Callithrix jacchus: one gene and its partner. The protein of the gene in region 2 purifies or fractionates together with the protein of the main gene of each other region. This does not show direct contact. Links are inferred from orthologs where the notes say so. Each region holds a gene or a part of one and is shown on either strand. Other genes may lie near its edges.

Region 1 (3,745 bases), about 96 Mb from region 2:
CCCCCAGGTTCAAGCGAGTCTCCTGTCTCAGCCTCCAGAGTAGCTGGGATTATAGGTGCCTGCCACCGTGCCTGGCTAATTTTGTATTTTTAGTAGAATGGGTTTCAGCATGTTGGCCAAGCTGGTCTCGAACTCCTGACTTCAGTTGATTCGCCCATCTCAGCCTTCCAAAGTGCTGGGATTACAGGCATGAGCCACTGCGCCCGGCCAGCATTTGTTCTTTTCTTCATTATTCACGTCAGGAGCTTGAGTTTCATAATAGTAAGAATAAATGCCTAGGAAAAGGCCTGCAGTTTCTCCATTTCCTCAGTAGCGTTTTCCCCAAAGACCAAACCCTCAGGGGAAACTGGTCTAGAGTAGCGACAGCTACAACCTTGTTGTATGTTCAGGGCTGCAACCTTGACCATTCCCGGGACTCAGTTTCCCCAGCTGTGAAATGGCAGGCCCAGGGCATGACATTCGGGCCACTCTCAGTCTCCCACTTCATTTCAGGCGCGCGTTAGCTCTGGTCCAGCCGGTTCCGATGCAGCTGAAGACCAAGGTGCGGCACCCAGGTTACCCTGATCATCGCAGATTCCTCTCCGGGGCTCTGTTCTGAGGCCTCAAAAGTCCTCCTTGTAGATGGGACCAGTCCCTTGTACCCGCTAGGGTCGTTTCGGCAGCAGCAGCGCCTGGTCTCAGTCTGGTACTGAAGTCAGGAGTGGCTTAAGGGGAAATTGTGGTCCTCTGGTGAACCCGAGCGAAGACCCTCTCGCTTTATTTCTGAGATAAAGCGGGGGCAGGAGGAAGAGTCCCTGTTACGATGCTGATCATCATCGAGCTTTTCCTGAGCTCGATGAAATTCTTTAGGTCGCATGATCGAGAGTCTCTCGTGGTCTGCCTGGCCCCAGGCACCTTCCTACGAACCCGGTGTTCCAAAAGGACAAGGCCTGGGGCAGGCGACGTCCTAGCTCGCATTCGAACAGGGCCGCGGGCCAGCAGAGACGCGCGATGCCCAACTCTTTCCGAGAGCACCTCGCGTCCCGAACCGGCGCCTTCAACTCGGGGAAGTCAAGAGTCCGGCAAGAAACTTGACCGCACCCGCCGCCGCGCTCCAGGCCCAGGCAGGGGCTGCTGAGCCGGCTCCCCAGGAAACGTGCTCCAGCGCCCCCGCAGACCGGCGGCCTCCCGGGGACCCCTCGGCACCTGCGGCCTCCGAGGAAGGGTCCGCGCGCACTTCAAGCCCGCCCCCGCCGCGCGCCCGGAGCCGCCTCCCTGGGAGAGCGTCCGGGGCGTCCCCCCTGGGGGCGCGGGAGGCCCGGGGGCGCTGCCCGGTGGCCGCCGCGCCCGGAGGCCGCACCGCCGGCGGCGGCAGCAGCGCGGCTCCCCCTGCTCCGTGCAGCTGCCGCCCGGCGCTTGCGCACTGGGCCCAGCGCGCGGCGGCCCCAGGCTTTGTGTGTGTGTGTGTGAGTGTGTGTGTGAGTGTGTGTGTGAGTGTGTGCGTGTGAGAGTGCGAGTGTCTGTGCGCCAGTGAGTGAGCGGCGGGCGGGCGCGAGTGTGGCCGCCGCGGAGCGCGAGCAGGACCCGGCGGGCGCGCTCCCCAGCCTCCGTCTCCCCGCCGGAACCATGTCGGGCAGGTCGGTTCGAGCCGAGACCAGGAGCCGGGCCAAAGATGATATCAAGAGGGTCATGGCGGCGATCGAGAAAGTGCGCAAATGGTAAGCGGAGGCGCCTGCCGCCCGCCGCCTCCCCGGCCGCCCCGAGCCCGAGCGCGGCTCCAGAAAGCCGCGGGGCGCAGCGCCCGGGCCGCCTGCCCCGGCCCGGCCCCGCCGCGGGCCCCGGGACTTGGCTAGGGCGCGCGGGCGGGCGGGCGGTGCGCGAGCCGGGTCACCTGCGCCAGGCGGGGGCCGCGGCCGCTGCCCAGGTGCGCTCGCTCCTGTCGCCCACCTGGCGCGGCGGCGGCGGCGGCCCGGAGGCGGCGGGCGCCGGGGCCGGGCGGTTGGAGCCGCGGGCAGCCCCCACCGCGGCGCTTGGCTCCCGGGAGGGGGGCTCGGGGCCGGCCCCAGAAGCCATTTCGTTTTGTGCAAGTCACATGAAAGCGGCTTCCCGCGCGCCGGGGCCGTGATGCCGGCGGCGGCGGGGAGAGCGCGAGCTCCATTGTGCAGACTCCGAGCGGGCCGCCGCCGCCGTCTCCTCCCCGCGCGCCCTGGCCCGCGCCCCGCCGCTCTCCGCCGGCCCCGGCCCGCCCGGCTGCCCGCTCCCGCCTCCCGGGCCCGGCGCCCTCGAGTCTGCGGAGTTTGCAGAGCGCGAGCCGTTTAAATTTAGCGCTTTGGGCTGCCTGGAGCGAGAGCTCTCGGCGACCAGGAAAGATGGGGGCGAGCGCCGGGAGCCAGCGGCCAGGGGCGCGGGGCGCCCACGTCCCACCCCGCTCTGCGCGGCGCCCGGGGCGGGGGGCTCGGGCCAGCAGATGTTTTTGGCCAGAAGCCGTTGGTCCTGGGCCGCGGCTGCCTTTCCACACCGCGAGCTCGTGTTTGTTTTGCGGAGGGAGCCGTTGTTTTTGTTCTCTGCACGGGGGTGAGGAGGACTCGGCGGCTGTCGCCGCCGCCGCCGCGCGTGGTTTTCGGTCTCCGGTTAGCGTCCGCCCGGCGTGGCCGGGTAGTCATTTAGGGGATCGAACCTCTCCGCGGCCTCGTCCGGGTCTGCTCGGAATCGTCCTCTGGGCCAGGCCCGAGGCGCCAGCAGATCGCTAGGTTGGGTCAGACTTGTTGAAAACTCCCCGCTCCCTGATTTCAACTTTATTATTTTTTTCCCACGCCTTCACCGGGGTCTGGGAGGGAGAAGAGCCGCTGCGATGCTGGCCCCGAGTGTCAGCGCCCGCGGGCTCGTCCCGACCCTTTATTTCGAGCCTGGAAGCCGGGCAGGCCCCTTGGCAAGGGATGTTTACGTTTAGGGGTGTCATTTCTCAAGTAGTGCCTCGGTCTCTAAAAGCCACTGGGGGCGAGCCTCCGGTGTGGCGGTGTCACAAGTTAGCTGTCCCTTCTGAGTCAAACCCAACAAAAAAGGCAAGAGGAAAATCAATAAAGTCCACGTGCTCTCGGGCCTCCTATGGAAAGGGCTGGCTGCGATGGCCGGATGCCCGGCCGTGGGCTGGGTTTGACTCCAGTGGGACAAAGAATTTTCAGAACCGGGAGAAGGGGAGGCTTTCCAAAGTTGAGATCCAAGTCGTCGATGTCTCGGGAGCTCCCCTGGTGCGCAGGGCGCCCGGTGCCCGACTGGAGCCATTTAAAAATGGCAGAAACAGCTGCAGGCCAACACACACACACTAGAAAGCAACCCGCAGCCCCCTCCACTGTGGGATTCCCCGTGGGAACCCTGAAGTGGCTCCCCTCCTCGCCTCAGCCCCTGTGCAAAGAAAGAACTGGTGTGTCTGTGCCTGGGTCCCTTCTGTCGCCGGCCTGAAGGTTGGGAAGCAGCCGGCAAGCCGCCTTTCTCTGCTTGGGGAGGCGTGGTGGGGCCTCCTGCCCCAGGTTCCCGGCAGGGCAGAGGCTCCTGCACTCTGACAGCTGCTCCCGCAGGGCGGCCAGCTGCTCTGCAGGGAGGGCAGATGGAGAGATGGGGCTTTCCACCCCGCGGGCCCCAGGGTGGCCAGCCTGGAGGCCTTCCAGCCCACTGAGCCCACGGGGACCAGGCCTGTAGTTGGGGCTGAGGGAGGCGGGGCTGCGCCTCTACGCCTCCCTGAGTTTGGGGAAACATCACATCGTGTCCT
Region 2 (3,745 bases):
AAGAGGGAGAATGAAAGAAAATCCAAAGTATAGTATCCCACTTCATAGCATCCCCATTTTCCTAGAGATATAATAATCATTTTGAACGTTTTTAAGTCACTGGAAATTCAACAAAAAGTAATTCTCAAAACAATCCTGGTCACCTAAGGCACCAACATGTTATGCCATGCATTCATATTCTACTGAAAAACCTATTCAATGTCACTGTTCCAAACAAGAAGTTTCATTTAAAAAATAAAATCTGAAAGTCAGAATTTTTTAAACCAAAGAAGTTTCCAAAACAAAGAAAAAAAAATTTTCCCAAAGATTACAGTTTCATTAACTATCTTAACTCTTTTACTAAGCATCACCTTTCTTCCATTCAGTGGATATCAAGCGATCAATAACAATGTCACAAAAGAATGTTTACCAAGATGGGGGGTGGGGTGTCACCTGTAATGATTTTGTATGAAAAACGTAAACGATCCTAAAATTGGTAAGAAAAACTTGCACCTTCCTACAATCTCACTTTATTTATATTAAATGTGTCTTAGTCTAAAATGAACAAGAGCTTAGAACTGTTTGGTGTGCAAGGTTTGCTTTTGTTTTTGCCAAAAACAAATCTCTCCATAAGTCCCTTATTTCCAAATACTATGGAAAAGTCACTACTACTCACCGCAAGTAATACTGTTTTAAAGCAAAGGCAGCGTTAGAACAACTTCTGGGAAAGTTGAACTCTTCAACAATTTCTCCCCACTGATTCTTCTCAGAGACCTGGTAAAACACAGGCACACTTGTCTGAAAGTGAACAATCTAAAAAAACCTTTACCTAACTGAAATAAATACCCATTCTACAGAGATCTGTAGATACCTAAGGCATCAATGGTTGTTTCTGATCGATCGGTAAGGTAAGAGTTACTAAGCAAGCAAGGGCGTCTTGAATCACTGTTTTCACCAGACAGCCCTGTATTTAATACCACTTGTTTTGTTTGGGGGGGATTGGTGGGTTTGTTTTGTTTTTGAAGCCGGGACAATAACCAATCGCAAGTCCCTCTGTCGCCCCCTTTTAAATCTCAACGCGGTCCGTTTACACTTAAAAAAAAAAAAAAAAAAAGTTCAAAAGGATCAATACAGTTCCGGACAGCGACGTCCGCGGGTTCTGGGGGGGCCGGGGCCGGGGCCGATTCCGATCCCTCTCCCAGATCTATCCATCTCCATAGGCCCTTCTTTGAGGCCTACAGCTTCTGCCTAGCCTTGAAGCCTAAGATGGCTATTTGGAGACAGGTCCTGGTTTCTTTTGTTAGCTGTATAAACCGAGGGCGACGGGGCCGAGGCTGTGCCCCCGGCTGCCAGGATCATTTCGCAGCCGATTATCGATGTTAAACCTGCCCGCGCTAATTTTGAGTTGCACGAAAACTGCTCTGAGTCTGTGTGTCTCTGTGTCTCAGCCTGTGCTAGAGCGGCAGCGGCGGCAGAGCTGACGAGCGAGCGAGCGAACAAGCGAGCGGGCGGTGCGGGCGCGGGGCTCCGGCTGGCGCCCCGCACGCCCGCACTCTCCGCCGCGGCGCTCAGACCCCGCCGGCCCAACTGGGCACCGGGCAGGGCGCTAGCCGGCGCCGGGCCGCCAGCCCGCGGGAGCCCCGCGCCCGCCGCGCGCACGCGAGCCACCAGGCCAAAAACAGCCCCGCCGCCGTCCGCCTCCGTGCCACCGGCTGGGAGCGAAAAGAACGCCTTTTGCCCCCGCGGGCCACCCCCCCAGCCCCAAGCGCCCACTCTGGGGTCAAAGGAGACTTTTTGGAGGAGGCCAGTGAGAGGGAAATACAAATTAAAACTTCCACTCACCTTCGCGAATCCGCCTAAAGTAGTGACTCTGGTGTAGAGACCGTGAAGATCCAGCTCCTTCCCACCCACCGCAGGGATTTTTTTAAAAGGCGACCTGCGGGAGAGAGAAAGACCCGCACTTGTCAGCCGGGACCCCGCGCCCGGCCCGGGCGGGAGAGCCCCGTTCGCCCCGGCTCGCCCCGGCGTTGCCCCCCCGGTTCTGCTCTCACCCTCTGCTGTGGTGGAACTGCCGCAGCTCGTCCAGGAAAGCGAGTCCCTTTCTCCGCTCGTCCGGAGGCGCCTTCCCCGTCGAGTTTGCCATTATTTTTTCAAAGGAGGTTTTTTAAAAACCCAGATCGGTGTTTTAAAAGCGCCCCCCGCTCCCAGCGCTTCCTACCAGAGCCCGGAGCCCATTCCTCGGCCGGCGGCGGCGGGGCTCAGTCACGGGCCGGCGGTGGCGGCGGCGGCGGCGGCGGCGGCGGCGGCGGCGGCGGCGCAGGGAGGGAGGGCGGGAGGGGGAGGAGGAGGAGGAGGAGGGGAAGGAGGGAGCAGGAGGCCAGGGGGAGAGGAGGGAACGAGGGAGGGGAATTTCTAAAAAAGTTTAAAGAAATCGGAGCGAAACTAGAGGGGCAGGCGACTGCCGGATCCGCGCGAAGCCGCGGGGCGAGCGCGGCCCCCACCCCTTCCTTCCCTCCCTCCCTCCCCGCGGCCCGGCTCTCGCCCGCCTCTCAGCGCCGCCGGCTGAGGTGGCTTGGCCCGGGTACGCGATTCAACATGGTGCTGCTGCCGGGGGCGCGCGAGCGGGCGAGGGGCAAGGCGAGCCAACGGTGAGGGGTCGGGGCGGCCGGAGGCCCTAGAGTTTCGGCGGCGGCGGCGACAGCGGCCGGCCTGGGGCAGGCGGGGCTGGGGGTGGGGAGGGGGAGGTCTGTGTGGTTTGTAGAAAGCGGGGTGACAGCGTGTATTTCGGCCCAGGCTCCGCGGAGCCCTCGCACACATTCACGCGCGGCCTCGGCCGCTGAGGCCGGGGCGTCCCCGGGCAGAAGCACCGGCGGCAGCTGAGCCGCTGCGCGCCGCCCGCCGCCCGCCTGCTTCCCTCCTCGTCAGCCTCGGTCTCTGCCGCCGCCAGCGCCGCCGCCACGGCCGGGCAGCTAGTGCCGCACAGCGACCCCCAAAGGCCGGCCGCGGCACTGCGCCTGGCTCCACACCGCCCCGGCAGCTCCTCGCGGGGAACAATAGACTCGGCTCGCCGAGCTTAGGGTTCGTCTGCAATGTGCCGCACATTTCACACGCACACAAAGCCGGCGGAAAGGGGGGCGGCGCGGGGGAACGGCCACTACCGGTTGTTCCAGGGTTAGGGGTGGAGGCGATGTTCGCGTCCCTGGCCCGGCTGTCGGAAGGGCCGCCTCGGAGTCCCCGCCCGCCCAACAAAAGTGGTGTGGCGCTCTGGAGGGAAAGGAGGCTTACCGGGGCAGCTCACGCTACGCAACATTCACAAATCGGAATAAAGTCAATTTGTTACCTTCTCTTTTTGTAAAGTCTAAAGAAATTGGTTTTTATGAGCCTTATGCTAGTATTTTGGGGCCTGGTTAGCACATTTTCTATGAATTATCCACACGCTATCTTTAGCAAACTATACGTTAAATATAATGTGAACTGTCTGTCCTAGTTCTGTGGAAAAAGAGTAATGCTTATAATTCATCTTGCCTCTGGTTGGCTTCACATATCAAACTGGATTATTCTATTACCAAAGTTATGCAAACTAAACTGGTTAGCAAGCAATCTCCAACTTCGACAATAATTAACGTTTACATTTTTATAGTAAGGTCTCCTAAAGATTACTGCGTTTAAAATAAATATCGAATAAAATGTTTTTCCTTGCTTTCAAATGTCTTAAATGTAATCCTCGTTTAAAATATTTGTGAAGGTTAAAAAAAACCTTTGGCTT

The links. The genes of interacting proteins can lie anywhere in the genome.
Region 1: the proteins of ARID2 (region 2) and BCL7A purify together in Homo sapiens (affinity purification with mass spectrometry; 3 studies listed by BioGRID and IntAct, counting the BioPlex papers as one, with this or other methods). This does not show direct contact. The link is inferred for Callithrix jacchus from reciprocal best matches to the Homo sapiens genes ARID2 and BCL7A.

What each region holds. Positions count from the first base shown.
Region 1 is NC_133510.1:125,227,628-125,231,372, forward strand, and holds the start of BCL7A (B-cell CLL/lymphoma 7 protein family member A), read left to right. Parts: upstream 1-1,433; 5' UTR 1,434-1,605; coding exon 1,606-1,697; intron 1,698-3,745.
Region 2 is NC_133510.1:29,645,775-29,649,519, forward strand, and holds the start of ARID2 (AT-rich interactive domain-containing protein 2), read right to left. Parts: upstream 2,251-3,745; 5' UTR 2,123-2,250; coding exon 2,031-2,122; intron 1,916-2,030; coding exon 1,822-1,915; intron 1,654-1,821; exon of another isoform or gene 851-1,653; intron 754-850; coding exon 656-753; intron 1-655. UniProt on the Homo sapiens protein: Involved in transcriptional activation and repression of select genes by chromatin remodeling (alteration of DNA-nucleosome topology). Required for the stability of the SWI/SNF chromatin remodeling complex SWI/SNF-B (PBAF).